2 linked regions of the Pelodiscus sinensis genome follow. Each later gene encodes a partner of the first gene's protein in a complex. Links are inferred from orthologs where the notes say so. Each region holds a gene or a part of one and is shown in the gene's direction. Other genes may lie near its edges.

The links.
Region 2: PARD3 (region 1) and PRKCZ share a complex: the UniProt entries of both Homo sapiens proteins name them as parts of the par polarity complex. The link is inferred for Pelodiscus sinensis from reciprocal best matches to the Homo sapiens genes PARD3 and PRKCZ.

Annotation. Positions count from the first base shown.
Region 1 is NC_134712.1:231,791,487-231,806,380, reverse strand, and holds the start of PARD3 (partitioning defective 3 homolog), read left to right. Parts: upstream 1-8,180; 5' UTR 8,181-8,580; coding exon 8,581-8,700; intron 8,701-14,894. UniProt on the Homo sapiens protein: Adapter protein involved in asymmetrical cell division and cell polarization processes. Seems to play a central role in the formation of epithelial tight junctions. Targets the phosphatase PTEN to cell junctions.
Region 2 is NC_134733.1:18,758,247-18,773,323, forward strand, and holds the start of PRKCZ (protein kinase C zeta type), read left to right. Parts: upstream 1-7,457; 5' UTR 7,458-7,580; intron 7,581-7,676; exon of another isoform or gene 7,677-7,817; intron 7,818-8,429; exon of another isoform or gene 8,430-8,473; intron 8,474-9,068; 5' UTR 9,069-9,231; coding exon 9,232-9,302; intron 9,303-15,077. UniProt on the Homo sapiens protein: Calcium- and diacylglycerol-independent serine/threonine-protein kinase that functions in phosphatidylinositol 3-kinase (PI3K) pathway and mitogen-activated protein (MAP) kinase cascade, and is involved in NF-kappa-B activation, mitogenic signaling, cell proliferation, cell polarity, inflammatory response and maintenance of long-term potentiation (LTP).

The DNA of each region.
Region 1 (14,894 bases):
TACCCAGAGCAGATGCCATCAGAATAATGACATCTGGATTCGTATTGGACACCTGTGAGAGTTTGTGGCAAATCACAAAAAAAAATCCTTGTTGGTAATGTGTTCCCTACCAGTAGGACACTAGCCATAAGATCGATAGAGCTAATCTTCCAACATATCTATTTTGTTTGTGGGATCGATTAGGCCTTCTTGGCCCTCTGCTGGAGATATTGGAGTCCCGATACCCTCCCCACAGACCACGTTTACTGCAAGTTAGTCCTCCAGATACCTAGAAACCCTAGAGGAAATTCTGACTAATCAAGAGCCAGAAGGACAATTAAAAATGGTTGTCTACATCTCAGGGCAGAGCAGTGTGAGAGTGGGATAGACTGTTTCCACCTCTTCAATAGTCTAAAACACAGGCCCTGCACTCATGCACTGCATAAAAGCATTTGACTTTGAGTGTTGTTTTGTGTCTGTATTTAAAGGAACAGAGTGCTGAGGTTTGTGTTTGTTATTGAGTAGCTGGTATAGTCTGAAGCCAAGCTAATAGCTACAGCCCATGGATTGAGGTAAGAAGTGCCTGCAGTACCACACTTTGGCCCTTGAGGGGTTACTATAAAGCAGACACATCTGCCTCAATGTGTATTATTAAATCTAGGCCAAATTCTGTCCTCAGAGAGGCATATAGAGCCCCTGCTGAAAACAGTGGGAATTCGGAAGTGTGTTTGTGTATCTAAGGGAAGAATTTGTTCCTATACCATGTCAATAAATTTTCCCATTTTAAAATGACAGTCGTTACAATTCAGGAGGTATCAACTGTGTGATCTGTTCCCAAACTGTTAACTCTGCCTGAAGTGCCTGCTATGTTAGACTCTCATTTACTCCATGTGAAACAAATTAAAACCTGAGTGAAGACTCTCTTTTTGGCAGTGAGCATTAGGTCCATAGTTGTGTGTACTGTATTCTATTCCACAGACAAGTGTACTGATTTTGTTCATTACAAAAGTTCATGTCAGAAACTTAGAAAAACAAAGGGAGAAAAGATCTTACATTTTGATTGCATTCACACTGCTTCTCTTGAAACATACACCTTCATGAAACTGAAATGATGCACACATGTACTGAGATACTGCACTTAAATTTCACCAAGTATAACCTGATTTTAAGCCAATTCAGAGTTTAAGAATTAGCACAGATTGATATATACTAGAACCTCAGTTACAAACATCATAAGAAAAGAAAATGTTTGCAACTCTGAACAAAATCTGTGGTTGTTCAAAAGTTTACAATGGAACATTGACTTACAGCTTTGCAAATTTACTATGCAGAAGTTAAATGCTGTTTTTTTACCATCTTAATGAAACAAGCAAAAATATAGTTTCCTTACCTTGGTCAAATCTTTAAAGTTTCCCTTTATTTTTAGCAGTTTACATTTAACACAGTACTGCATTATACAGTATTTGCCCTTTTTAAAAATTGTTTTGGCTGCCTGATTGCATACTTCTGGTTCCAGATGAAGGGGGCAGTTTACCAGTGAGTCCATAACTCTGGTATTCGTAACTCTGAGGTTCTACTGTATGATAAAACACTGCACTTGCATTGTGGTAACTGTAGCTTGTTCTGTTTATTGTCAAAGTCTTTGTGCTCTGTAAAATGAAGACGTATTTACCATATATGACAAGTTGTCACAGAGCTTAGCTCAGCACAGGGAGTCTCCTATTTCACTTCATTCTTCTCTTTACTGCATTTCAGCAGCTGCAAATACATTTAAGGAAGACAAGATGAAGGAGAGCAGAAAAGGAGGTAGAAGATGGAAGGAGAAATGGGAAAAGGTGTGATAAGGACAATTAAAGATGGAAAGGGGAGGAGGAAGAAGAGAGGATGAGAGAAAAAATTACAGAAGAAAGGATATAAAGAAAAATAAGATGAAGAAAAGAATGAAGTTGGGTGTCTCCTTTCCCTCTTTTCATTAGTTCTTAGTTAATCTTTTCTTCTGATTTGGCCCCAAAACTGTTTTGATGGTAGTGTGAGCATCCACTATTCCTCCTCAGTGGGAGTTGTAGATGATCAGCAACTCTGAAAGATGGCTATGGTGTGCTTCCATAGCTTTTCCGAGTGTATGGAAGTAATTCAACAGTTGTGCTGTGGCATCATTCAAGGTAGCTGTGCATGTCCTAGTCACACTTCTGACAAGGAGTTCTAGTAAACCCATACTTTGTTTATTCTTTCTCTTTAGCTACTTTTATGTTTATAATATAGAAAATTAATTTTGCAGGCATTTCAGAATTTTGCCTTGGAGCAAATATTCATGCAGCAGTGGTGGTATAAAAGGAGTGAAAATGGCCAAGCTAATGCATCTAAATAAACTTGTAACATGGGTGTAGGTTTTCTGATAATACATTTGTATATGTAATTCTTCATATTCCTATGAAACCCCGAAAGCCCCCATTCTCTTTCTTCCAGTCTGTGAGGCCCCATGTTGTAGCCACCAAATTTCAACCGGTGAAGACCTTGATGGAATCCCTTTCATATCCTACCAATGCTGCTCTTTAATGAGCCAGAGAGTTCATTGATGAACGTCACAATATATCCTTTCATTTTTTAATCCAAGAAAGAAATGAATGGAACCAGAAGTTTAACTAGAATCCCTGGCAGTTCAGATTAGTACCAGCAGAGAGATACAACCTAATAGTTGTATAAAACCTGTACATAATTTGTGAGGTGGAATACACATACTGTGATGTTGCACTCAATGTTCTTTATTGAAATATGCTTCTGAGTAAGACACAACTTGAACATGCTTTATGCAAAATACTTCATGTAACACATTATTCAAAAAGTTATATTCTGCTGAATGTATATATTTTATTTCTGTGCATATATCATTCCTGAATTTGAAGTTATATATATGTTTTGTATACATATACAAGTAACTTTACCCATTGATGAACCGTTCCTAAATACTGTTTACTATCATACTATTAGTTATATGTTCCTTGGGATTAGGCAATGTTTTATTAACTGTAATAAGTAACAGGAAGTGGTCTCTAAGCCATTTGACATTATATTGTTTTGTGTCCATTTCTCAAGAAAACAAAAATGACACATCTCTTGCAAATCTATATCTACATACACGGTACATGAGTTCTTGGACATTCCTGTTTTAGACTACAAACCTGCAAAGACTTGTGCAGGTGCTTTATTAATGCACTGAGCAGTCTCACTAAAATCAGTGGGACTACTCTAAGAGCATAAACTTAAGCAAATGGACAAGTTAGCAGAACTGGGGCCTAAGCATAATATTTTAGAAAGCACCTAAGTGGCTCTGGGCACATCTACTCTCTGATTCAAAATCCCATGGCACTGTGTCTGAGTGTAGCTCACTTTGACTCAGGTTGATGGGGCTTGGCTCCAGGACTATAAAACTGCAGTATAGACTAGGGATGTTAAATATCGGTTAATTGAAGAGTCAAGTAACCTCGTGAATTCTTATTGGTTAGTCAACTACTCTATAGTACCCGGGGGCAGGGTTGGCAGCCAGTGCACTCCGGCCCCACTACCGAGGAGCACCCTGCCATTCCTTGCTGCTGCCTCTGTATCATCTTCCCTCTCTTTCCCAGTGCAGATAGGCAGAAGGAGCAGGGAGCTCTGAGCCTTGGTGGTGCGCCCAGCCTGATTGAAAGGCTTGATGGATCAGATCTGGATCCCCATTCTGTCTGACGTGGCACAGAGACTTGATACTGCTCCCAAGTGAGTGACTTCAGTGCTGGGCTCTAGGGTACCGAGCTGGGTCTTTCTCAATCTCTGCTATTGAAGCTGCTCCCCTTTGTATAATATTTATTAGAGAAGAAACTGCAGTCTGGGTTTCCCAGTGGGACATAGCATCTCTCTCTCTCTCTCTTTAGTTTAATTCAAGGAATATTTAGAAAGTGCCTACAAAGCAGAACAGCTTCAACAGGTTTTTCATGAAAAAGGGCTGACTAACTTAGACACCTACTTCCAGAGGGTGTTCATGCCTGTGAATCCCAACTGGAGGGAGGCACCTCTCTGCAGCCCAGAGCTAGGCACTTAACACCATTGGCTGTGTGGGGGAAGGTGGTTTTCCTTATCCTCAGCATTTCCTGCTTAGGTGGCTCTGTGCTCAGTGTGCTGGCTTTTGTGAATTCCATTCGCAGGTGCCTAATTCTTCCTATGCATTATGATAGCATTGTACTGGCTGCCTGGGTACCACATGCAGGGCCATGGATTCCACTGTTCTTTATTACCATAGTGCTTAGGAGCCCTAGTCTTGGACCAGGACTCCATTGTGGTAGGTGTTATCCATACACAGAATAAAAACACTGCTCCAAAGGGCTTGCAATCCAGGCAGCCTAAACGTTAGGTGTTATACTTAACATATTAAGTCCCCAGTGGGTGAGACTTGGCTCCGGAGTCTCTAAGTCCCTTTTGAAAGTAGGATTTGGTTTCTATGTCACTTAAGGTACAAATTTCAAAAGCACCTAAGTCCACAAAGTGCTGGACCTGGTGTGTGCAGGAAATGGAAGGAAGCCAAGCTGCCCCATCCCCCTTCCTGACCACAGGCTCCTGGGCCATGGCTGTAGCAATGCTCCACTGGGATGGCTGCAGGACGCCCCTGCAGGAAAGTGCCCACTGTGTAGGAAACAGATGGCCTTGCTCAAAACAAATTGCCATAGTCTGAACTGAGACCTTCAGTGTCAGCTCAGAGTTTAGGGCTAGGCTTCATGCACAGTGTCTCCTGGGATGAGTGCTCCTGTAACTTTTCTTCACAGCTGGGCCAGCTGTGAGTGTGGCACATCCACCACCTCCCACACCATCTTCTCAGCTCTGTGGGATCCACTGCAAAAAGTGCACCAGGGAAGACCTGCTGCAGGACCAGATAGCCTGCCTCCAGTCCCTCATATGGGGGTTCAATGAGGAGTGCTGGGAGCAGACTGCCAACTGTGAGGCAAGCCGGGTTGACCAGAAGCAGCTGATGCACCAGTATGAGGCCATGTCTTCCTCCATGACCTCTGTCATGAAGCGCATGACTGTGCATGGAGTGGGTCACCAGTGAGCTCCTTGCTCCCCTCTCCACCCAACTCTCCTGCCCCCATCCCCGCCTCTTGTCTTCTCCTCCTAGCCCTCCGAAGGGCCACTGAACACATGGTGATGGGACTTCTTGGGCAGCGCAAGAGAGACAGCAGTCCCAACACCATCCCTGAGCCACCTTTAGCAGGAATCACTCCCTACCAAGCAGACCAATATTGTCTCGTTCCTTATACTCCCATATTTGTCTATATCAAACTGCTTGGGGAAGGGATTAGCTTCTGGTTCTGAGTTTGTACAGCTCTTCCCACAATGGCTTCTTGATCCAAGACTAGGGCTCCTAGACACTAGGACAGAGATGGTCAATCTAGGCTAGCAAGTGGGCCACATAAATGGCCCTCTTTTATCTGAGTGGGCTGCAAGAATGTTGTAAGCAAGCTACCCTCCTGGAAACAGGGTAGTTTTGCTCACTGCACTTGCATGCCTAGAATTTGCAAAAGCTTTCGTGGGCAAAGACCCACTTCGTCAGATGCATGTAGTGGAAATTTCCAGAGGCAGGTATAAATATGCAGGCCAGAATCAGGCTGGAGATGACGATATGGATCCAATCACCTGCCTGATTCTGGCCTGCATATTTATACCTGACTCTGGAAATTTCCACTATATGCATCTGATAAAGTGGGTCTTTGCCCACAAAAGCTTATGCTCCTACACTTCAGTTAGTCTATAAGGTGCTACAGGAGTCCTCACCGCTTTTGCAGATTCAGACTAACACAGCTACCCCTCTGATACTAGAATTTGCAGTGTCCCAAATGAACCATAGCAGTGCTTTGATTGGATATAGAGAGTGCATGACTCTCACTGTTAATGTTGTGTACAGTCAGTGGGCACCTCACTTCATGTGCCCTTGCTTTATATGTCATTTTAGTAATGTTACTTTAGTAAAACTGGCAGGAAAAAATGATGTGGATGGAACCCAGCAAAATCTGACAACCCTGTGCATGGGTAATGGTAAAAAAAAAATGTTTTGCAGGACACATACACAACCCTGATGGGCCACATGCAGTCCTAAGGCCATCACTGCACTAAGGTAAGAGACTTAATAATCACTATCAGGTCACCTACATTTTATGGAAAATTTTTGGTGACAAATTCTTTTTAATATGTGGTTACAATCAAATAAGTTCTGGCTTGTTTCCCTCTCCTCTCAAAGCAGAAGAGTCTAATTACACCGAGGTTAATTTTAAGCAATGAATCTTTGTGAATAGTAGTACAAAAGATTGCAAGTAACTCCTCTTTCTTCACTCCTCTTTAATCTAAACCCAGTTAAGTAGAACTGCGCATAGTTTCCTAATGCATAGGGATGAAATCCTGGTTCCATTGAAGTAAATGATGAAATTCCCATTGACTTCAATGGGTCAGGATTACACCCTAGATGTCTGTAGAATAACTAACAGAGTCCTTTCAATATTGCACATCTCAAGAGTTCTGATTGTGCACTACTTAATCACATATAACTCTGTTGTCTGTATAAGGTTTGGGATATCTAAACTTACTAGAACTATAGTCCCCAGTCTTGGAAGAGATGACTAAACCATACTGTCTTCTGAGATTAACTGAGTTTCGCATCATGTTACTATGTGAAACCTCCAGAAAACATCTTAAAACCAAGATCCTGTTTGTTCTTTGTAGACATAAAGTATAATTTTACTGTTTTTTAAAAGCACTGTGTGGTTCCATGTTTAAGTAAAACAAATGTGTGTTTTTTCTGATTGCCTGTCCTGAAAATTTAGCCCTCATTCAGCAAATCAATTTGGATGCTTTCTGTCTTATGCGCCACCATCCAGTATAAAGATTCTGCAAGCGAAGTAGAACAATTACTGACAAATGTGCAAGTTCATTTTCTTCTAATTCTGCTACCAGTGACATTTATAACACCCATTCAATTCAGTGGGGCTGTAACTGCAATTCTACTGATGTTATAAACGCTAGGATATACTCCAGTTTACTTGTCATACTGCATTGACTCTGCTCAGCTAACAAGAATAAAATGATCAAGGCTATCCTTTTGAAGAACATCTAGATTTGAGGCAGCAAAGTGTGTATGGTGACACTGTGAAAACACCAGGTAGGAGACTGGTTCATTTCTCCATGTACAGCTGTAAAAGGGGATATGTTTCTAACCAACTAAGTTCCTTGGGGTTCAGGATCCTCTATTTCTCAGTCACCATGATTGAGAACAGCCTTAGGGTGCTGGAAGACTCTGCTCAGTCAACAGAAAAGTATGGTTGATGAGCCACAAGGGGGGAATTTGTGGGGATGTAGAATCCAGAAAAGACCCCTGGGGCCAGAAAAAGAGAATTTCTATCACTGGTTCTTTCCATCCCCACACCTCTAGGATCCAAGGTAGTGGACACCCATTAAAATCAGTAGGAGTCTGCCCACACTGATCCAGTGTTTGTGTGGCTTTGCAGTAAGTAGATGCTCCTGTGCATTATTCTTTCTGCTTACCAGCCTGCTGCACTTGTTTCCTCCTGGTATAGTCCAAGTCCTCTGCAGAGAGTTGCCAATGCCCCTGCCAGCAGATAACACCCACAGAGATGCAGGAAGTAGCCAGATACACTCAGGTCAGGTGTCCCAGCTTTTCTTTCAAGGACAAGGGCTGGGAAATTGTGTAAAATTAAAGAGTGAGATTCTGCTACACTCAGGTGCCTCCAGGAGCCAGGCCCTGGGCAGAGGCCAGTAGCGTGGGGCAGCACGCCCCTACCTGGACAAAAGAAGCCCTGGACATTTTAAAGCACCCTTTGGAAAATGCTAGGGGCGCCTGCGGGCGGTGGGGGGTTTACAACCTTCCCCCGCCAAGGGCAAGGATGGGCGATCAAAGTGGGCCCCTTTACCGCTAGGCTGGGCTTCCTCTCTCCCGATGGCCGGGGGCAGCAGTACCCCTTCCCCGGGGCGGGCTGGGAGGTCTGGGCTACGCAGGGTCCCCGACACGGCTGCGGGGCCGTCCGCTCTGCTTCCTTCAGAGCCCATAGGCGAGCGCAGTGTAAACAGCAGCACATGGGCCCCCTCCCTTCCCCTGGGCCTCCTTCCCGGGCTCGGCCCCACCACCCTCCCTCCGCCCCTGGGCATGTGGCAGGAGGCGCAGCCCCACACCCGCTGGCTGGGCTGGGGGAGGGCCGGGGCCCAGAGGCAGAGCGAGCGGCAATGCCCTGCGCGGCCATAGCGGGGAGACAGCGCGGCCCTTCCCCCGCCGCCCGGGCGTGAGCAGCCGCCGCCGCCGCGCTGCGCGCAGGAGGAGACGCGGAACAGGTGGCCAGAGGCAGCAGCGAGCGCTGGCACCGCCCCGGCGGCGGCCGAGCATGTGAGCGGGAAGCCCGCAGCCCGGGACTCGGCCGGTCCGCTGCAGCAGCTGCCGCCTTCCCTCGGCGCGGGCTCCTGCCCGGGGCTGGCGGCTGGCCCGGGGCGCAGAGCCAGGCGCGCCCGGAGCTGGGGGCCGAGCGCGGGCGGGGAGCGTGTGGGGGCCGCAGGCAGCCGGGCGGCCGGGGCAGGATGAAAGTCACCGTGTGCTTCGGGCGGACCCGGGTGGTCGTGCCCTGCGGGGACGGCAACATGAAAGTTTTCAGCCTCATCCAGCAAGCGGTGACCAGGTACAAGAAGGCGATCGCCAAGGTGAGGGTGCGCGCCCGGGGCAGCGAGCGGGGGACGGCGCAGGAAGAGGGCGCCTGGGATCAATATGGCGCTTCCTGGAAAGGGGGAGGGAGGGGATGAAAGGGGAAAAGTGCAGGCTGCTCGGCTGGGGAGAGACGTGGGCACGGGCTGGAGGGGCCCGGCCTCCGCAGCCCCCCTCCCCGAGGGCGAGAGTTGGTGGGTGCGAGATCCAGAGAAGGAAGAAGCGCGGGGAGTTTGGGCCAGAGGCGCTGCTGCTCCTGGGTGCAGCGATCTAGTTTTCCTGACAGTGAAGTTTAAAGCGCTGCTGGGCTGCCCGGCCCGGCCCTGGGGGCAGGGAGCGTGTGTCTGTGTGAAAGGAGTTGCTAACTGAACATGGCTTCTTTGTAACCCAGCTGGGGAGCTGAGATTTACCCTTTAGCGAGATACAGTCGCAGACGTGTGTTTTGGGGCCTGAGCTCTTTGTTACTATTTTGTAACGAGCAAACGAGTCTCTTGTAGGTGTGATTGTAAAAGGGCTGGGGGATCTCTCCCTCTAGCTCTTTCTCTCTCTGTGGTGTTCCTATTAGTTGCGTACACCCCAAGTGCCCTGGGTCCATACAAACTGGGGTATTGGCTGTCACTTGGAGGGTTACATCTTGTTACTTTAATTGTCGCGGAAAAGACTGTGTAACAGCGTGCTATAGCTTTTGTTACATCTTCAAAGCTTGGTGTTTGAAACAGATAAAGATATAAATCCCCAAAAGTAGGTCTCCTTTACAATGATTTCTCTTTGCTGGGCAGTAGTTACTGCAAAGAATTCAAATCCAGCCCCAGGCTTCCCAGCTGCTCCAGGCCCAGGAAGAAAAAAAACAGTGAAATGTGGGGAGTTGACAAAACAGCAGGCATTTAATGTTTATATCTGAAAAAGTTATATGTCTCTTGGACTGCCAGAAAAGGGGAAAGGTACTACAGAGAGGATTGTCTGGAGAATTTTTTTTTTTAAAGGATGGGTTAAAAGAGTGTTCTGTTGGATTGTTTGCTAGGACAATCACTTCATGACAAGTCAGTGCACTCTTCTCTGTGTCAGAAATTCTCATGTCAACACAGAGAATCATTTACTTTTCCAGTTACTCTGAAAGAAGTTTACAGTGTAGGGAGCCTTTGTGCTGGAAATATGTTAATTGCATTTATCTTTGGAAACGTAATTGATTTCTTTCTTTTTGGTGATGTTAATTATAATTACAGCTTGTCTGAATAATAATAGAGAGGTAGCTGTGTTAGTCTGGTCTTGCTAAAACAAAAGAAAAAAAACATGTAGCACTTTAAAGACTAACAAGATAGTTTAATACATGATGAGCTTTCGTGGGCCAGACCCACTTTCTCAGATCATATTCTGGAAGAGAATTGGCATGACCATGGTATATATGGTAATGCCAGTTCTCTTCCAGAATATGATCTGAGGAAGTGAGTCTGGCCCACGAAAGCTCGTGACATATTAAACCAACTTGTTAGTCATTAAAGTGCTACATAGTTTTTCCTTTTGTTTTAACTTGTCTGAACGCTTTCTGCGTAGAGTTGGTGCATGACTACATGTACATAGTTATTTACAAATAATTGTATCTTCCATTCTGTAGTCACTTAGAATATTTTATTTTTTTGCTGCAAAACATGTTTTTAAATTTCTGACTAACATTTGCCAGGCCAATCTGAAAAAGACCAGTAGATTAATGAAATTCCATCTGGTGCTTCCTACTCCCCCAGCTTTGCTCAAGTAGTTGGGTATGACTTATTTTTTTACCTTTATGATTTTTGTTTTGTTTCAGTTGAGAATTTTTTACTTCAGGACTCTCTGAAATTGCACCAAGCAATTAGAAGTTTGAAGTCTGCTTGCCTTAGCATTAGTAGGTTGGAAATACTGTGTCAGGTTGTGAGTGGGGTGGTGTTTTTTTCCAATGAGAACCTGTGGCTGGTGTCCAGGGAAAGGGAAACCAAAGTTTCCATTTTTTTGTTTCCTTTTTTTCCAGAATTTTTTGAGACAATCACTACATCTTAGTATATTGTGTAACATCACACAACATTGACTAGTGAAATGTTTCACTGAAAGAAGTCAAGATGCCAACTGCAGTTATTTTGACAGCTTCATTAAAGTGCATAACATTTCATATGCACAGAAATGACCATGTCCCAAAGTACTCTTACAACTGAGAGTGCTACTTACTTAAACGGGACTATACTTGACAGTAAATATTTGTATGATTGGTCCCTAAATCTTACAATATTAATATAATCTAGTGATGATAAATCTATGGTTTCCAGGCTGTAGTCTCTGAATATCTGTCTCGTCATAGTGCACTGGATCACATTCCTGTTTCCAGCTGTTAAATTGCATTAAAGACAGCTACAAACACATTCCTAATATATTTCCATGTGAACAAATTGCAGTATGTGTAACAGTGAAGTTATGTGAGAATGAGTGGAGAGGATGGTTGCTTGTATGCTTGCAAATGGCGGGGAGGGGTCCATGACAAAAGCTCTGTTATGTAGCCACATTATGAAAAAAAAAATTAGAAACCTCTGAAATGTGATATATTGGCAGGTGAACGTCGTAAAGATAATTTTCAAGATTACAGTTTTGCTTGCTCCTAGCCTTCAGAACTTTTGATCTTGGGTTTTATAAAGGACCCGTTGGCTTTAAATTTCATTTTTATTTTGTGTACTGTATTTTGCATGGATTAAGCTTTGTTGCAGTTGGGGTTAGAATGGTGTTAATTACAATGAGAAGGCTTCTACTATATGCAAATCTTGTGAAAACAGTTATCTACCCCAACTAAGATCACAGTGATGATTCCATGAGTACCACTATAAATAAGTATAGATAAATTTTACCAAATATTTTCCAAGTAATAACTGTGGCTTTTCATAATATGGAAATAGCGAGGGATGTAATTTCAGGTTTTTATGGTTAGTGCCCCACCTTTCTAGTGTGATTAGGTGGTCTCTTTTTATTGGAGTCCAAGAGCTGTACGGCTCTTTGCTTCTTAGAAAAGGATGTATATATTAAATATTTGAGAGATCAACTGTAGTTTTTAAATTTATTTTTATCATCATTTTGATAACATTTGGCATTTTTCTGAGTCTTCCAAAATGTATTACTTCTGCATCAATTATAGCCTCATGTAGGAAACTAAAAATCTGATAGAAATGTTCTAACACTAACATGAAAATGTGGGCCCCAACCCTACAAAAATGTATGTACCTGTTTAATTTAGCATATTGTGAGTAGTCCCAGTGACTTCAGTAGAGCTTCTTGGAGATTGAAGGATCAGAACAACACTGAGCTTAGCTCTCCCATCCCACAATTTTCAGTTTTTGACTAGCAGCAGATGCTCTAAATCAAGACTGTTTTTAGGTGCTTATACAATGCTAGCTCTCTACATTAGCATTTTTTTTAGGACTGTCAATTGATGTGCGTTAACACCTCTGATTAACTCAGCCCAGGATTAACACGTTAACTTTTTTTAACGTGTTAATTGTGGGCGTTAATGCTGCGCTGCCCCTTTTGGGGACTCCAACTGATCTTGGGCTCCTGTGGCTTTGAAATGCTGTTATTGCGTTTCAAAGGGGCAGCTGAACTGAGCCCGGGGTCAGCTGAGGGCCCCAGCTGATCCCGGGCTTGTGCAGCGCTGCGCCTTTGAAACGCCGCCGCAGCGTTAATTTTTTAATTGCTTGACTGTCCTAATTTTTTTATTTGCACAGTGTGCATGAAGTTATTCTAGCACAAAGGACTCAATTTGGAATTGTGTGCAAATGTGTTTCCAAAATATTGAAAGTATATAACTTAATCTTTGACCTTTATTTTAATTTTCTTTTTCTCACTTAGAATTATTTGAATTGAATTGACGTGGTGGGAGTGGAAACAATACCTGTTTAACAGGAAATAAATTAGGGTCAGAGACAAAATGCTCGCTGTTTTAAAAAAAAATTAAATAACATACGCATAACACATTTCATTTTTGCCTTTTATCATTCTGTAGTTGCATGTGATAATTAGGAATGAGTCAATCAGTCCCTTTTATTTTTGATGGTAAATCATTGCCATTTTAGATGCAAAATCTCTCTCTATTAAAGATGGTTTAACTTGTTAGTATGGTAGACTGCATCCCCCTGTCAATGTGATGGAAAGTCCAAACATTTTTTTGGAAGCTTTATTACAAGTATTCTTTCTTTTTTTGATATTCCAATAAAGGCTGTGTAGTTGAAATATGAACAGTAAGCCTTTTTCTCTACAACTTGAAAACAAACAAACAAAAGCCCATCCAATCAACCTGGTTGTCAGCATGATACATTCTTGAATTGTAGGCAGGGCTTACAATCCACTTGCCCAGGACAAGAAATCTTTTTTTTTTTTTTTGAGAATTCAGTCAGGCTTAGCAGAATCTAAGGCATTGTCTCCATTGGGACCAGACCCACTGTTATTGTAACATCAGTATAATTGACTGGTGTACCCCATAATGAAGAAACTCTCACTGGTATTAACTACTATGACTTGCATCAATGCATTTTACCCTTGCTAGTGGGTGATGCGTAAATTTTCAAAACCTGCTTAAGGGGAATGCAGAAGTTGTATAGTTCTCCTCACAAAATTATATGAATGTCTTGGAGATTGAAAAGTTACAGAAGGTTGCAATCAGAATGTGATGAAGGGACTTGCAGGCTTTGAATTATGAAAAGAAAAAGAAGACTTGGCCTATATAACTGAATAATAAGGACCTGAGAGCCAGAGTACTGTACATTGAGAGTGTATATGATTATGAAAGGAAATGCATATATTGATGCCAATAAACTTTTTGACATACTAACTAGATTAAAATACATATTATAAAGAGAGGCACACGCAACTGAACAATTCAAATTGCATAACTTCACCAAAAGATTGACTTAAATACACAAGATGTTGAAATTTGTCTGAGAAGTTAGGAATATGTTTGTAAGAAGCTGGTACATAGATTCTCATCTGAAAGGGAGCAGATCTGTTTTATCTTTAGTTTACAGTGATTTTGGTATAAGATGGCAATTTCTATTTTTATTTCCAATTTCTACTGACTTGGTCCTTGAATTTCGTCAGTGTTTGAAAAATATAAAGAACATAAAGTTTGCAATAAAAAGGAGATAATGCACAGTTATTCTGAAGGTGAAAATGATGGAAAGAAGTGTATGTGTTGATTGTTTTCTTAACATCTATTATGTGTGTGTGTGTGACTGGATATGTAGATGTGCAGAACAAATGAGAAGTTTAATATATTTAATTGAGAGTGTTGAGAGAAACAAAGCCAAGCCAGTGGCCAGAGACAAGTAGTAGTTAGGGCAGGGGTCTGCATCCTTTTCAAACCAAAGAGCCAAACTACATCCAAATTCAGAACAAGTGGTCACCAAAGAGCCATGTAAGAATGCCCATCTGCATGACTGAAAATATACAACTTAATATTATTGATAATTGACATAATGATTAATAATAGTATAAATGAAAAATTGTACCCAGACTTTATTTAATGGGACTTTTGCTGCTGCATCTTCTCTCACATTTCTTTGAAGTTTCCATCACAACTGTCAAATCCAGCTTCATGCACATATTCAGGCTGTCTTCTGTCATTCTTATGGCAGAGGGGTGGTGACGTGGGGTGCAGGAGTCCAGTGATGTGGGTGAACGAGTGGTTCAGGGCAGGGTGTTCAGGTGTATGATGGGCTCAGGATTGATGTGTGTGGTAGGGATGTAAGTGACTACTTGACTATGCAATAAGCAAAAGCTTATTGGATAGTTGAGGGACTAGTCACCCCTTCCCTCCTGCTGCCTTTATCAGAGCACCAGCAGGGGAAGTGGTGGGGACCAGGCGTGAGGTGGGAATCAGCGGATTCCCAGCTTGCATCTAGTCCCAGACACGCCTCTATTGGCTCTTAATCCATTTAGAAGGCTAAAGTGTAGCAGGGCGGGACTTAGTGTGAGCTGGGACAGCTGATTCCTGACTCATGCCTGGGCCAACAGGCTCTTAATCCATTTAAAGAGCAGAGCTATAGCCCAGGCTGGAGCTAACCCTGCTGCAGCTCCCCACTTACTGAATAATCAACCAGTCAATGGAAAATCTATTGACTAGTTGATTAGTCGATTAAACTAAATTTAACATCCCTAGTGTGTGGGAGTGCAGGAGTATTATGATGTT
Region 2 (15,077 bases), on another chromosome or scaffold:
AAACTTCCTAACTGTCAGGGTGGTTAAACTCTAGAATAAATTGCCTAGGGAGGTTGTGGAATCTCCATCACTAAAGATATTTAAGAGCAGGTTAGACAGACCTCTATCGGGGATATAGACCAGTGGTCCCCAACCTTTTGGGGATGCCAGGCACCCAGGGTGGGAGACCGCGCATCCGCCGGGGCCTGGGGTGCAAGAATGGCTCGGGCTGGCCCTGGTCACTAGGTGGGCACACACAAATGCCGCACCGCGTTGGGGACCACTGATATAGATCATGCTTGGTCCTGCCATGAGGACAGAGAACTGGATTTGATGATCTCTCGAGGTCCCTTCCAGTTCTAATATTCTATTATCTCTATGGGTACATCTACACAGCATCCTAAACTTGGAATAAGATACGCAAATTGTGTCCTATTTCAAATCTTTTTCGAAATAGGTTATTTTGAAATTTGGCATGTCTACACAGTGCCAAATTTCAAAATAACATGCTATTTCGAGACATCCCTTAACCCTTGTGGAATAAGGGTTACTAGAATGCTGAAATAGCATACCCGTTATTTCGAAAAATATTTCAAAATAACGGGTGGCTGGTATAAATATGGATCAGCTATTTCGGGATCTCTCCGAGATCCCGAAATAGCTGTGCAGTGTAGACATACCCTTAGATATCTGATATCTATACATATAAAATGACGGGGACTAAATTAGTTGGTACCACTCAAGAGAGAAATCTTGACATCATTGTGGATAGTTCTCTGAAAACATCTACTCAATGTGCAGTGGCTGTCAAAAAAGCAAACAATGTTAGGAATCGTTTTTTAAAAAAAGGGATAGGGAATAAGACAGAAAATCTTATTGCCTCTATATAAATCCACTGTACACCCACATCTTGAATTCTGCGTACAGATGCAGTCACCTCATCTCCAAAAAGATATATTGGCATTGGAAAAGGTTCAGAAAAGGGCAATAAAAATGATTAGGGGTTTGCAATGTCTGCCATGTGAGGAGAGATTAATAAAACGGGAACTTTTTAGCTTAGAAAAGAGTAGACTAAGGTGGGGTATGAGAGAGGTCTATAAACTCATGACCGATATGGGGAAAGCAGATAAGGAAATATCCTTTACTTGCTCTCATAACACAAAGATCTAGGGGTTACCAAATAAAATTAATAGGTAGCAGATTTAAAACAAACAAGAGGAAGTATTTCTTCATGTAACACACAGTCAACCTGTAGAATTCCCTGCCAGAAGATGTTGTGAAGACCAGGACTTAAACGGGGTTCAAAAAAGAACCAATATTAGATCCATCAATGGCATCCTTAGCCTCTGCTTGTCAGAAACTGGGAATGGGTGATGGGGAGAGATCACTTGATGATTACCTGTTCTGAGTATTCCCTCTGGGGCACCTGATATTGGCCACTGTTAGAAGACAGGATACTGGGCTAGATGGACCTCTGGTTGGTCCTAGTATGGCTGTTCTTGTGTTCAGTGTCTTCTGTGGAAATCCAGGAAGAACAGCCCTGTACCAGAGTAAGATATGATCATGCACGCTTGCAGAACTCCCTACTTCCCAGTACAAGAATGTGGATTAATGCCATTTATTTACCCCCAAAGCAGTTCATTTGCATCTCCCAATAAACTATTTTGTAAAAAGAACACTGCTTGGTAGCCTGGGAACAACATTACAGTGAATGAAGCTATGAACATTAGGTATTCAGCTGTACTTTTCTCCCAAAGCAGTTCCTGGGATCATCTTGCCACCTACTGGAACTATGTAAATATACATTCCTACAGAAAGTTGTGCTTTTACACTTTTACAACAGGCATCATAAAATAACTCTCAAGCCACCACACCCTGAAACCAGTCCTCTGGATAGTGGTAGCACACAGCAGAAAACAATTATTTAACTTTGTGCCATAGGACAAATGCCCAATCCTGGGTTCTATATCTGGATATAAAATGTATGTCATTCAGGGCCAGATTCTGATCTCAATTACACCTGGGTAAACCCAAAGTAAATCACCTGAAGTCAATGGGATTGGTTCAGGTGTGTGTAATCTGGCACCTACTTTGACCTTCTATTTGCCAAGATTTCTCAGTCAAAACGTATAGCATCCTTTTAAGTAACAGGGGCCCAATCCAACTCAGTGAGACTTTACAATGGATTTCAGTAGTAGATGGATCAGGTTCTTGGTTAGAATAAACTTGGAAAAAAGTCTGAATTTCTTGAGTATTTGTTTTTTCTAATTTTTTTAGAACACTTCCTTCTCAATGGATGGGTGTGGATGGGCCTCACATGACTTATATAAGAAGTTCACACTAAGATCCACAAAACACAAAAGCATCCAATCTATAAATTTAGCCTTAGGAGCTGGCCAGCCTCCAGCTACCATCTCACAAGAAAGGAGATATCCTTTAGTTTTAAGTGTTAGAAACCACTGGTTTCAGTGCTGATATTGTTGTGTGTATATTCAATTACAATTCACTCCACAAGGAAGTGAATGCAGAATTGAAAATCCCCAGTCCTGCTGCTGATGCATGAACCAAATATACTCTCTTCTACTTCTACTGGTTTGGACAATAGCCACGTTTCGAACAACTTAAATATTTTCAAGGAATCATCCCCCCCCCCCCCCCCAAGGCACTTTGTACTCTGCTCTCAGGTATGGGGAAAAAAAACAGGATATTTTTCTCCCCAGTTTTTTTAAAATACAGGTTTAACCTTTACGTTTGGACTTATGTGGTCCAGCAACATCTGTGGTCTGATATCCCAGTGAGTAATCTGGGTCTGGAGTACTCATGCGAAAAGCTGGCCCCCATTCAGCAACTCTTACCCATCCCTCCCCCTCCCGAGCTTTTGGAGCATCACCATAAGCAGCACTCAAACTCAGGGAGGGAGGACAGGGAAGGAGTAGAGATGGGAGATGCTTGGGGGTAGAGGCGGGGTTGCTGAGAGGCTAAATGTGTTCTGGCTGGGCTGTGCTCCTAGCCCCTGGCCACAGGACTCCACAACTACCCTGCCTCTTCCTGCAAGTGGTCCCTCAACTCCCGCTTGGTCAATGCCAGCTCCTCTTGTTGTCTCCGGAGTAGAAACCGGCAGCAGCAAAGGGTCCAGCATTGACCTCCCCTGGTTCAGAATCAGTCATGTTTCAAGGGAAGTACAACCTGTAGTACCTCAACTTGAATATTTCCTTTCAATCTGACACAAATTAAAATAGCTGAGTTATAACCCTCTCAAAAATGGGGTTTAAATAGGGAAATTCTCAGTTCCTTAACCTCTAGTGAGCACTGGTTTAATAGCTGTCAGTTTATTAGGTTGAGGGTAAGTTAATGACAGATAAAAATGCAATAAATATACTGCAGCTGAAAAAAAAATTGTGCTCAGAAGCATAGTCAGGATTTCTGGCTCTATGCCACCAGAAGTTGGTTGTGTTTCAAAAACAATATGCCAGAGACAATGTCTTACAATATGTTATCCTTGCATTGCTGTTACAATCTTGTTAGTTAATCCATAGAGGAAAACTGACATCCTCTCCAAAAAGTGCCATCTGCTGACCTTTATTCCTTGAAATGGAGAGCATCAAAGCAGAAATGAATACATTTAAGAATATTGTAATATTAAGAAATATTAAAAATTAGGATATTTTTGTTAAAATGATTAAAGGGTAGGGAGTGACCCATAATGAAATGTTTATTTTATTCACGTTTTCTGACAAGTGATGTAAATGTACATAGAATTGCCTTATGAAAAAACTGTGCTGGAAAAAACCCAAAAGCTTAGCTTTAAAGAGTTCACAGCATCTTTTGTCTAAGCAACTTCTGTTGCTTCACAGGTTTAATTATTGATTTCCATGTTCTGAGAGGTAAGAATCATCTCAATTTCACAGATAGGAGAACTGAGACACAGAGAGATTTAAGGACCAGTTTTGAAACCATGACTCTCACTTAAGTGGGACTACCTGTGCATGTGTAGTCATTATTCTTGCTGACTGCTAATAATGCCTCTTTGGGGCTTGGGAAGGTTACATAGTGAATAAGCAGCAGAGTCATAAACAAAACTTTGGAGTCTCAACTCAATTTCCTATTTAACTGCTAGTCTACAAAAACAACAGACCCCCCCCCCCACCTCCTTTCCGGTAATATAATAATTACTATTTGATGTACAAAAGCACCTAAAAACTCCAGTAAGGGATCAGGGCCCAATTGTGCTTGGTTCTATACAAACATATCCAAAAGCTGGTCTATTCTCCAAAAGAGCATGTAATTTACATTTTGGACAACAATCAGTGGGTGGATGAAAAAGTAACAGTGAGATCATTATGATCAGTATGATAACCAGCACCCACACAGGTCACACAAACCAGTGCTTAATATGTATGCAATACTTTTTATCTTCAAAATGCAAACGATGACAGCACCAGTGAAAAAAGCAAGAACCCAGTAGTTCTGATACCTAATCTCATGCTCTAAGACTTAGAAAAGGTTGCAAACCTCCTGAGATAGTAAAGATGTTATTTTAGCTGATACTGGAAAAATCACTCACTTTGGAATCTAGATTCTGATCCTACTTTGAGATTTCTCTTTGTAAATGAGTTTATTAATTGGCTAGCAACCGATGCCTCTTACTTTTATTGAGGTACGTGGAAGCTTCTGCTGTTTCAAGAGTGCCTGGAAAATGACTACATAATGATTTAAATGTTTTATTGAAGACAGATTTAAAAGTATTTGTTAAAGGCCTAAAAATAAGAATGAAAACACTTACATTAAATAGTAGAATACCCTTGGCATGACCTACCATTGACATCAATGTCTTCTACTGAGAATGGTGCAGAATTAGCATTGTTTTTATGCTACACTGATTCAGGGGATAGACCCTATTTCTCACGGGCTTATAACCATATTGTCCCTACTGTTTCTATAGTACAGGCAGTCCCCGGGTTACGTACAAGATAGGGACTGTAGGTTTGTTCTTAAGTTGAATCTGTATGTAAGTCGGAACTGGCGTCCAGATTCAGCCGCTGCTGAAACTGATCAGTTTCAACAGTGGCTGAATCTGGACGCCAGTTCTGACTTACATACAGATTCAACTTAAGAACCCCAGGCATCCCCAAGTCAGCTGCTGCTGAAACTGATCAGTGGCAGATTCCAGGAAGCCCGGGGCAGGGGCTTCCTGTAGTCAGCCACTGGTCATTTTCAGCAGCTGCTGACTAGGGGACACCTGGGGCAGAGCAGCTGGGGTGCTGCTGGGTTGGTCCAGTGGCACCCAGAGCGGCGCTACGGGACCAACCGGCAGCGCCCCTGCTGCTGTACCACAGGCGTCCGGAGCAAAGCCGCGGAGCACGGGGGCAGCGGGACAGCCCAGACGCGCCGTGGCTATCCTGCTGCCCTCGGGCTCCGTGGCTTTGCTCTGCTTTGCTCCCCGTCCCCCTGGTCTGCAGACCAGGGGGATGGGGAACAAAGCGGCGGAACACGCAGGCAGCGGGACAGCCCAGACGCGCCGTGGCTATCCTGCTGCCCTCGGGCTCCGCGGCTTTGCTCTGCTCCCCGTCCCCCAGGTCTGCAGACCAGGGGGAGGGGGAGCAGAGTAGAGCAGAGCGGCGGAACCCGCGGCCAGCTGACAGCCCAGACACGTCTGGGCTGTCAGCTGGTCGCGTGCTCCGCTCTGCTTCCCCCCCCCCCATGGTTTGCAGACCAGGGGGAGGGGGAGCAGAGCGGAGCAGAGCAGAGCGCAGAACGTGCGGCCAGCTGACAGCCCAGACGCATCTGGGCTGTCAGCTGGCCTCGTGCTCCGCTCTGCTCCCCCCCCACCCTGCAGATCAGGGGGAGGGGGAGCAGAGCGGAGCACAGCAGAGCGGCGGAACGCGCGGCCAGCTGGCCGCGTGCTCCGCTCTGCTCCCCCTCCCCCTGGTCTGCAGACCAGGGGGAGGGGGAGCAGAGCAGAGCGGAGCAGAGCAGAGCGGCAGAACGCGCGGCCAGCTGACAGCCCAGAAGCGTCTGGGCTGTCAGCTGGCTGTGCGTTCCGCCGCTCTGCTCTGCTCCGCTCTGCTCCCCCTCCCCCTGGTCTGCAGAGGGGGGGGGGAGCAGAGCGGAGCGCGCGGCCAGCTGACAGCCCAGACGCGTCTGGGCTGTCAGCTGGCCGCGCGTTCCACCGCCGCTTTGCTTCCTCTCCCTGGTCTGCTCGAGACCAGGGAGAGGAAGTGCCCCGTTCGTAACTGCGGATCCGACGTAAGTCGGATCCGCGTAACTCGGGGACTGCCTGTAGATTCTAACTGAGAATGTAAAAGAGGCTTGACAATGTAAATGGCCCACACTTCCACTTCCAGTTGTGGGTTAGTTGATGATGGGTAAATTGCAGAACAGAAATCAGGCAGGGGTGGGAAAAATACATCCAATGGGCTGTATCTGTCCCACCAAACATTCGTATACAGCCTGCCACAATACTCCAGATTGCCAATGTCCTGCAGCCCAGCAGGATACTCAGGCAGGCTCCCTGCCTGCTGCTCCACCAGATGCCATGCAAATTGGCCGGCTGCTGGGGCTAGTGCGTGTGTCTGCACCACGTGTGCCACTCTGGGGGAGGTGAGGTCTCCTGCCCCCACCACAATCCTCACAGCTCCCATTGGCTAATTTCCAGCCTGGGCCATGCTTGCAGGGGCATGCAGCATGAGGAGACTTTTTCCCTTCTTCCTCTGAAGGGGTGCACCAGGTAGATACACACACAATAGCCCCAGCAGTCAGCTGCTTTGAATGGCATGTGGGGGTGCAGGCAGGGAGCCTGCTGGAGGGTCCCCTTGGGTTGCTGGCCAGAAGCTGCCTACTGTAAGCATCTCCCAGGCAGAACCTGCACCTGGCACTCATCTCCACCCCGTCCTGCACCAGGTCCCAACCCAAACCCTCTACATGCCCTTCTCCACCCTAAACCCTACATCCTCTCCTGCACCCCAATCCCTTGTCCCAGGTCACAACACTCTTCATCCAAACTCCTCCTCCCCAATCCTCTACTTTGAGCTTTCCCCTGTACTCCCCCTCTATCCCAGACCCTGCACTTCCCCCACTAATATCACAGAAGAGTGAGCACCCTTGACCCCTTACCAAATTATTAGACTGGTGCCCCATCAAGAATTATTACCCACCCCCAGGTTAAGAGACATGCCTAAGGCCAATGGGAGGTGGCAGTGAGAATAGACCTGAGGCAGCCTTGCAGCCAGGACTCATCTCTGCTTGCCCCATCTATCCACCCCATTGCTGGAACAGGCACCCAGCCATCCTGCCCCCATCTCCTAAGAGACAGCCCCCCCCCCTCTCCCGCCACTGGCCGCAGCTGTCCATCCCCCCGCTCATATTTTATGATTGGCTGCCTCCTCTCCGCTCGCCAGGTAACGGATACCGCCCTCTGATTGGCCAGGCCCGGAGGTATGCCTGTGGGGACTGGTTTCAGGTGGGCGGCGCTTGCGATTGGTCGGCAGGTAGGGTGGGCGGCGCTCCATTGGCTGTCGGAGCCGTTAACCTGCTCAGTCCGCCATGTTCGGAGTAGCGGTGGCGCGGGAGCAGCGGGCGTTGCTTTCGTGCGCGGGTCGCCGGTGAGCCAGGCGCGAGGTGGAAAGCGGCGGGTGCTCTGGGATTCCGGGGGGTGCGCGCTGCTGCCGCCGCCTCAGGGGGATCTCGGGCGGGGGAGCTGAGTCCGACCCCCAACTTCCTGTCGGGACTTTGGGCAACTTCCAGCCTGAGGGCGGGGCGTGGGCGGGGTTAGGCTGAGGGGGGTGTCAAGACGGGAGCTGCACGCCTGAGGGGAACCACTTCGGCTGGCGCCACAGCAGGTAGGAGAGCGCCCCGCCCCCCCACCGGCCGCCTGGCCTGCGCGGGGACACCCTAGGGCCCCCCCAGCAGCACTGAACGCTCTGTGGGGGCAGCTACCGGGGAAAGCTCCCTCTGTGGAGCGGGGAACCCCGCGAGGGGCAGGCGCGCTGCGCCCGGCTCCTGCTTGCAGTGACCCCAGTGCCCTGAGGCGGGACGCAAGGACCCTAGGCGCCGCTGCAGACCGGCTGGTGGGACCCAGGCTGTAACAGATCAAGCTGGGGCGCAATGACGCCCATCCTCAAAGACGGGTGAATCCAGTAGCTTGTGCGCCCCCCGCCCCCCAACTATTACAAAGGGGAAGCTGGATCTTCAGATTATTAAGCAGGCTCCTAATTTGCTCCCCCCCCATCCCTAAAAGAAGGCCAGCATGCTGCTGAAACCTTTCCTTTACAGACATAAAGGTCTGAGAGTCAGGTTAGTCTGAAACTTTTAAAAACAGCAAGTAGCCCTGTGACACTTTCTAAAGTAACAAGAATATTGGTGTAGTTAGTATGAGCTTTCTTGGGCATTCTTCTCAGGAAGTGGGTTTTGCCTGGGAAAGCAAAGTCTGTATGTTTTTGTTCATCTCTAAGGTGCCACAGGACTGCTCCTTGTCTTCCTTAGAAACACAGTGAAGGTTGGTGTCAGATTCTGCAGTGTTTTTTCCCATAGGGGGAAATGAAAAGCTTCTGTGTGGCATGAAAAATATGAGACTAGCAGAAGAATGAGTAAACAACTTTTATTGCAAATGAAGTATCCCTTCCTTTCTACAGTCTCCTAAAAAGTGTTTGTACTGCAATATTTTTTGCCTTAAGTGGAAATACAAGAAGTTTTATTAGGAAACTTTAAAAAAGTTTCAGCACTTGAATCCTAGTCTTGTCAAGTGTGGAAACAGTGTTCTGACTGTTGGTAGCTTATCTGAGCTTCTCTTAACATGAATGATTTCATAAAATTAACTGCCCTATTATTTTTTGCCAGTGCTATTTTCTTTAATTCTCATCCCTGTGCTTATTAAACACTTTTAAAAGCACCTGTAAAGTTAAAGCAAGAGTGCAACAAAAATAAAAACTAACATGTTTTTGCAGGACCAGGGTCTTATAATTAGTGAGTAACACCTAACCGTACCCACAAAATACCATAGAAATTGGGGCATCAGTGATAGAATTACATCTGTGTTTTAACATGTTCTTTTTAAATTTGTTAACGCTCTATTTTTCTTTTTGTGTCTGTAGGTGGACTGGATATCATTTTGGGGGCAAAAAGCCTATACACATTACTTGCTACTTCATTAGACCTTAGCATAACATTAGTGATTATTTTTGACAACACTTTGGGTTTGGAGGATCGTCTTTATGCCCATAATGTGTTTGTTGTTTAGACTTCTATATTAGTATCATGCCTAGCAGAATGGGATCAAAAATGAATCTGAACAGAGACGTCATCAGAGTAAAAACACATTATAATGGGTAAGTCATACGTACAGTCCTTTCAATGCTGCTTAAGTTTATCCTGTACAGACTAACTCGGCTACCCCCTGAAGCTTCATATGTGGTTTGTCACTTTAGTTAGCAGCAAATAATAGTCTGTGAAATCATTAAGTAATTAAGTAACCAAACAATGTTTGTAAATTTACTTGGATGTTAAAATGTTAATTTTTTTATTCCTAAATCTTTATAAACTAGTGATATGCTCTGGCTTGTTTTTGGTTTCTAACCAAATCTGTGTTGAAACAGAAGTGTTTGATGTATTTGCTGATTCAGTATGAAGATTAGTAAACAATGTAGTGTGTTAAAGTACATTTGCTGCGCCTGGATTTAAATTGGTTTTCCTTAGGCCCTGGTCCTGCAATGAATTCTGCATTGGCAGACTGAGTTGAGTGCTGATGTCCACCTGCATAGTTTGGAAATGGATGAATCCTGGGAGAAATTTGGGACAGAAATTGTTTGGTTTTCTGCAGCATCTGTCACAAAAAGGTCCTAATACTAGTTAGCACTTTCAGTGCTACTGTAATTCAAATAGGTTATAGCTGCTATTACACTTGCACAATTAGAGGCATCATTTCTGTGGCTAAAATTGTAGACTGTGCCAGCAAATGCTGCTGTTTAGCTTATTGATTGTTTTTTTTTTTTTTTTCCCTCCCCAAACCACTTTAAGGAAAACTCAAAGATTGTCAGAGAAATATTTACCTATTGTGGTAAAAAGGTGTTTGGATTTTAAACGCAAGTTATCAGTAAATCCAGGTAACAATATTTACCTAATGTGTAGTAGGTTTGGTTATTAAAAATGAAATTTAGAATTCCAGTTCACCTTTCACAATGTGGTTGGCTTACATTGAGTAAAATACAAAAATCAAATAGTTGCAGTTACATCCATTATGTTCACTTCTGTTTATAGACTCTTTCATTTTCTGGCAATTTTAATAGCAGGTTGCTTTTGTTGCTTGGTTCCCAATATTATAGGGAATGATTGTTTTAAATTCAATTTAAAACAATATAAGAATAATTCTATCTTTTTTGAATAAAAACCAGGACTATATAGCACTTTAAAGACTAACAAGATGGCTTATTAGGTGATGAGCTTTCATGGGCCAGACCCACTTCCTCAGATCAAATAGTGGAGGAAAATTGGCATGACCAAAGGATACCATCAAAAAAATGAACACATATGAAAAGGACAAATCAAATTTCAGAACAGAAGGGGGAATGGGGGGAGGGGAGGTAAATGTCTGTGAGCTAATGATATTAGAGGTGGTGATTGAGGATGCTATCTTTGTAATGGATAAGGTAATTAGTGTCTTTGTTAAGACCTAGGTGTAAAGTGTCAAATTTAAGCATGAATGACAGTTCAGAGGATTCTCTTTCAAGTCTGGTGTTAAAATGTCTTTGAAGCAGGATGCAGGTAATCAAGTCATTGAGACCATGCCCTTTCTGGTTGAAATGGCAAGAAACTTGTTTTTCTTTGTGATCCTGTCTAATATCTGTTTTGTGGGCATTGATTCTTTGGCGAAGTGTCAGACATTTGTCCAATGTACATAGCAGACGGACACTTTTGGCACATGATAGCGTAAATTATATTTCTGGATGAGCAGGCATATGTGCTCTTGATCTTATAACTCAATTGGTTAGGTCCAATAATGGGCGTCAGCAGAGTGAATATGTGGACAAAGCTGGCAACAGGGTTTGTTGCAAGGAAAAGTTCCAGGGTTGGTATTGGTGTGGTATGTCCTGTGGTTGTTGGTAAGAATCATCTTGAGGTTAGGTGGTTGTCTATAGGAGACTATGGGTATGTCTCCCAGAGCCTCTCTAGTTTAGTATCCTGTTCCAGTATAGATTGTAGTTTATTGATAATGTGTTGGACAGGTTTAAGTTGGGGGCTGTAGGTGATGACAAGTGGTGTTCTATTGTTGGTTTTCTTGGGTCTGTTTTGAAGTAGATGGTTTCTAATCCTCTGAACATTCATGCTTAAATCTGACACTTTACACCTAGGTCTTAACAAAGACACTAACTTACCTATTACAAAGATAGCTTCCCCAATTATCACCTCTAATATCATTAGCTCACAGACATTTACCTCCCCCCTCACCATCCTCCTTCTTTTCTGAAATTTGATTTGTCCTTTTCATATGTGTTCATTTTTTTTGATTGTATCCTTTGGTCATGCCAATTTTCCTCCACTATTTGATCTGAGGAAGTGGGTCTGGCCCACGAAAGCTCATCACCTAATAAACCATCATGTTAGTCTTTAAAGTGCTACATAGTCCTGTTTTTTGTTTCAGCTACACCAGACTAACACGACTACATTTCTATCACTATTCTATCTAGTTTGGTATCCCATTCCCTCCTTTTTTTAAAAAAACAATTGGGCTTAAAAGTAATTGATAGTAACTTTATAATTTAGACTTGAGGTTTGGCTCTTTTCCTCATATGCTAAAAATATGTTGATCTAGAGTGTGGTCATTGTCAGCAATTTGTTATGTAGCATAGCCATATTGGGTTTTTTTTCCTCCATAAGAAACTTTGTTTAGTACAGGGTGAACCTCTCTAATCTGGTGCACTCTGATCCAACACAATTTTAGTTAAGTGGACATCCAGCTATCGTGGGTATAACCAAGTTTTCTGCAGTCTCATGAAGTTTGTTACAGCCACCGGTCCTGGCTGTCAGTGTTCTGTACTGTTGTTTAGCTCTAATTTACCTCTAAATGTCTTCTAAGACTCCAGTAAGCAATGGAAGTGTTGGTAATGCTGCTAGATAATATTGACCTCCCATGGTCCAGCAAATTCTCTGGTTTGGCACTTGTCAAGTCCTGTGGGTGCCAGACTAGAGAGGTTCAACCTGTAACAGTTGGAAAGAGGATGACAACCTGGATGACGATTTGAGTCCTTAAACTGTGAAAGGGAATAATAGTACATTTCTTAAACCTGGTCTTCACTATGAGGGGCAATGTATCTAAGTTAAGCTACATGAATAATGTAGCTGAAGTTGGCGTATTTAGCTCTTCTTGCCACAGTTTCTTCACTGTGGTGTTTGCTTACCTTTCTCAGCTTGATGGAGCATCAAAGATGATGCCAGAGCTATTGGCAATGAATTTATCAACTTGCTAAACGGACCCGCAATGGATCGATTGCTGCCCCGTTGATCTGGCTGGTAATTGAAACAGAATCTAAAATAGGGATGTTAGTGTGTAATGGAATAGTCCTGTAACTGCAACAAATTTTAGTGGTTCCAGATAGGGATGTAAGCGACTAGTCCTTCTATTGGAGGAAGCAAGAACCAGTGCTGGAGAGATTCCTGGCTTAAGCCCAGTCCCAGACGCTGTGCCTCTGCTTTCTAAATGTATTAAGAGTTGCTATGGCTCCCCCGCTTATCATCTAGTCGATGGAAAATCCACTGATTAGTCACTTAGTTGATTAAACTAAATTTAACATCCCTAGTCCTCGGGGCCCAGCAGCTAGTGTACTCTTGGCCCCCTTCTGGGAAGCCCCCTTCTACTCCACACTGCTACCTCTCTGTCAGAGACAGCAGTGTGGGGTGGCAGGTGGGAGCCAGATTAAGCTGTCTTACCCTGCGGTGCCCTCTTCTTCTCCCTCCCCCCCCCAGCATCAGCTCCTGCCTGCCCCTCCACTGCCTCTGTAGGAGGCAGCAAGGGAGCAGGCAGGTCTGCAGAGCCAGCTCCTATGCGTATTGTCTGTTGTCTGCTGCCTGCCCACCTCACCCTCTGTGCTGCTGCCTCTCTATCAGAGGCTGCAGCACGGGTATGGGGGGGGGGGGGGAGCAGGTGGATCTGGTGCTCGTGGGGAGCCAACTTAAAGCTGGCTTCCCCGCAGGTACCGTCTCCCTCCTCTCCCCCGCTTGCTGCAGGATTAACCAATAAGACCAGCCTTATTGGTGAATTGTATTGTCATCTACATGTTGACATTCCTAATCTAAACTAGGGCTGTGGCTTGACTACACTGATATAAACCCTCTACTGTTGCTGTTGTAATGCCAGGCCCAGTAAAAACAGTAGCTGGAGTAATGTACCTTAAGCTGAGCTTTGGTGCTGTCATCGCAGCAGGCAGTCAGTGGGAGAAATGGTCACGTTGACTTCCCTTACTCCTCACAACAAGTAGGAATTCTGGTGCTTACGGGGTCACCCTCATAGTTTGATTTAGCAGGTCTTTACTAAACAGTTAAATTGACGCTGGATGATTGACCCCTGCATCGTTGATCTCTCCCGTCAGCTTACACCATGCCTCTACATGTGGGAAGAAGTCTCTGGTAAAGTTCCTGATAATCTTTTCCATCCATGTGCAGATTTTTTCCATCCATGTATGGAATACACTTTTTTATGCTCACTGAGGCATGTGCAAATATGCACCACCAGAAGAAACAAATACAGCTGTGGGCACTCTGTCAATCAGCTGGGTGGCACATGACTCTAAGTGGCCCCTCAAGTGTACAGGTTATACTGGTCTCCAGTCAGCTTAACTATTCCCACCCCTGCAAGCAGTGGTAGCTGGGTAGGTAGGAGATAGTGCTGTCTACATCAGCGCTTAAATTGGAATACGTTGTGTTGCTCAGTGTCTGGCAAATTGACACCCCAGAGCAATATAATGTATTAAGCTATAATGTAGCCCTACCCTCATACTCAGCTCTGATGTGTGAGTAGGATTGGCAAATGATGCCTTAAACAAAATGATGTGGTCCATGGATATATAGGGAAAGCTTTTGCTCCTGCAGTGAAATGTCACGTTGTGGTTAGAGCACGTAGACCAGAAGACAGCTCATGAATTGTAAAACTAGTCTTACCACTAACTCTCATTTTAACCCTGAACCGGTCACTTAACCTTCTTGATGTAGCCATTTGTAAAATGGAAATCTAGCAGAACCTCTCTAATTACACTTCATTACAAATCTGATAATTTGCACATAAAAATATTCTCAAATATTTAATGGGAGAGTGAGGCTTTATATTAAGTATCAGAGGGGTAGCTGTGTTAGTCTGAATCTGCAAAAGTGGTGAGGAGTCCTGTGGCACCTTATAGACTAACTGAAGTGTTGGAGCATAAGCTTTTGTGGGTCTGATGAAGTGGGTCTTTGCCCACGAAATCTTATGCTTCAACACTTCAGTTAGTCTATAAGGTGCCACAGGACTCCTCACCGCTTTATATTAAAATGTAGTCTTAAGTTAAATATCAGAATATTCTATTAAACATAAAATAGCTATATACATTTAATATATTTGTTTTTATTGTAATAGATATGTAAGTGAATACATGTGAAAATAAATGAGTACAGCATATTTTGTGGTATTATTGCTGTTACACTTACTCAGTAATTTCTGAAATTTTGATAATCAGCAGTGATTAGTACTAATTAGCAAGGTTTTTCTACCTGACAGAGCTCTTTGAGAGATTTAATGAGTACTTGTAAACTGCTTTGGATGAAATGCACCATGAGAGTGCAGCTAAATGTGTGTAGTTTCAGTTCAGTAGAGATCTTTATCTTTAAATTTATAAGACTGTCAATCTAGATTTATGATGAAAGGATGTTCTCAGTTGAATTATGGTAGCATTAGAGTGCTACTATTTGTTTTAAATGTGCAAGGTGATCTGAAATTGTGTAGACCAGTGGTTCCCAACCTTTTTTATCGGACTGGCAAACACATCCACAAACTTTTGGTAGATCGGTAACATTTTTTATTTGCATATTTATTATTTGCATAATGCAGATAAAATGTTACTGGTCCACCCAGAGCCTCC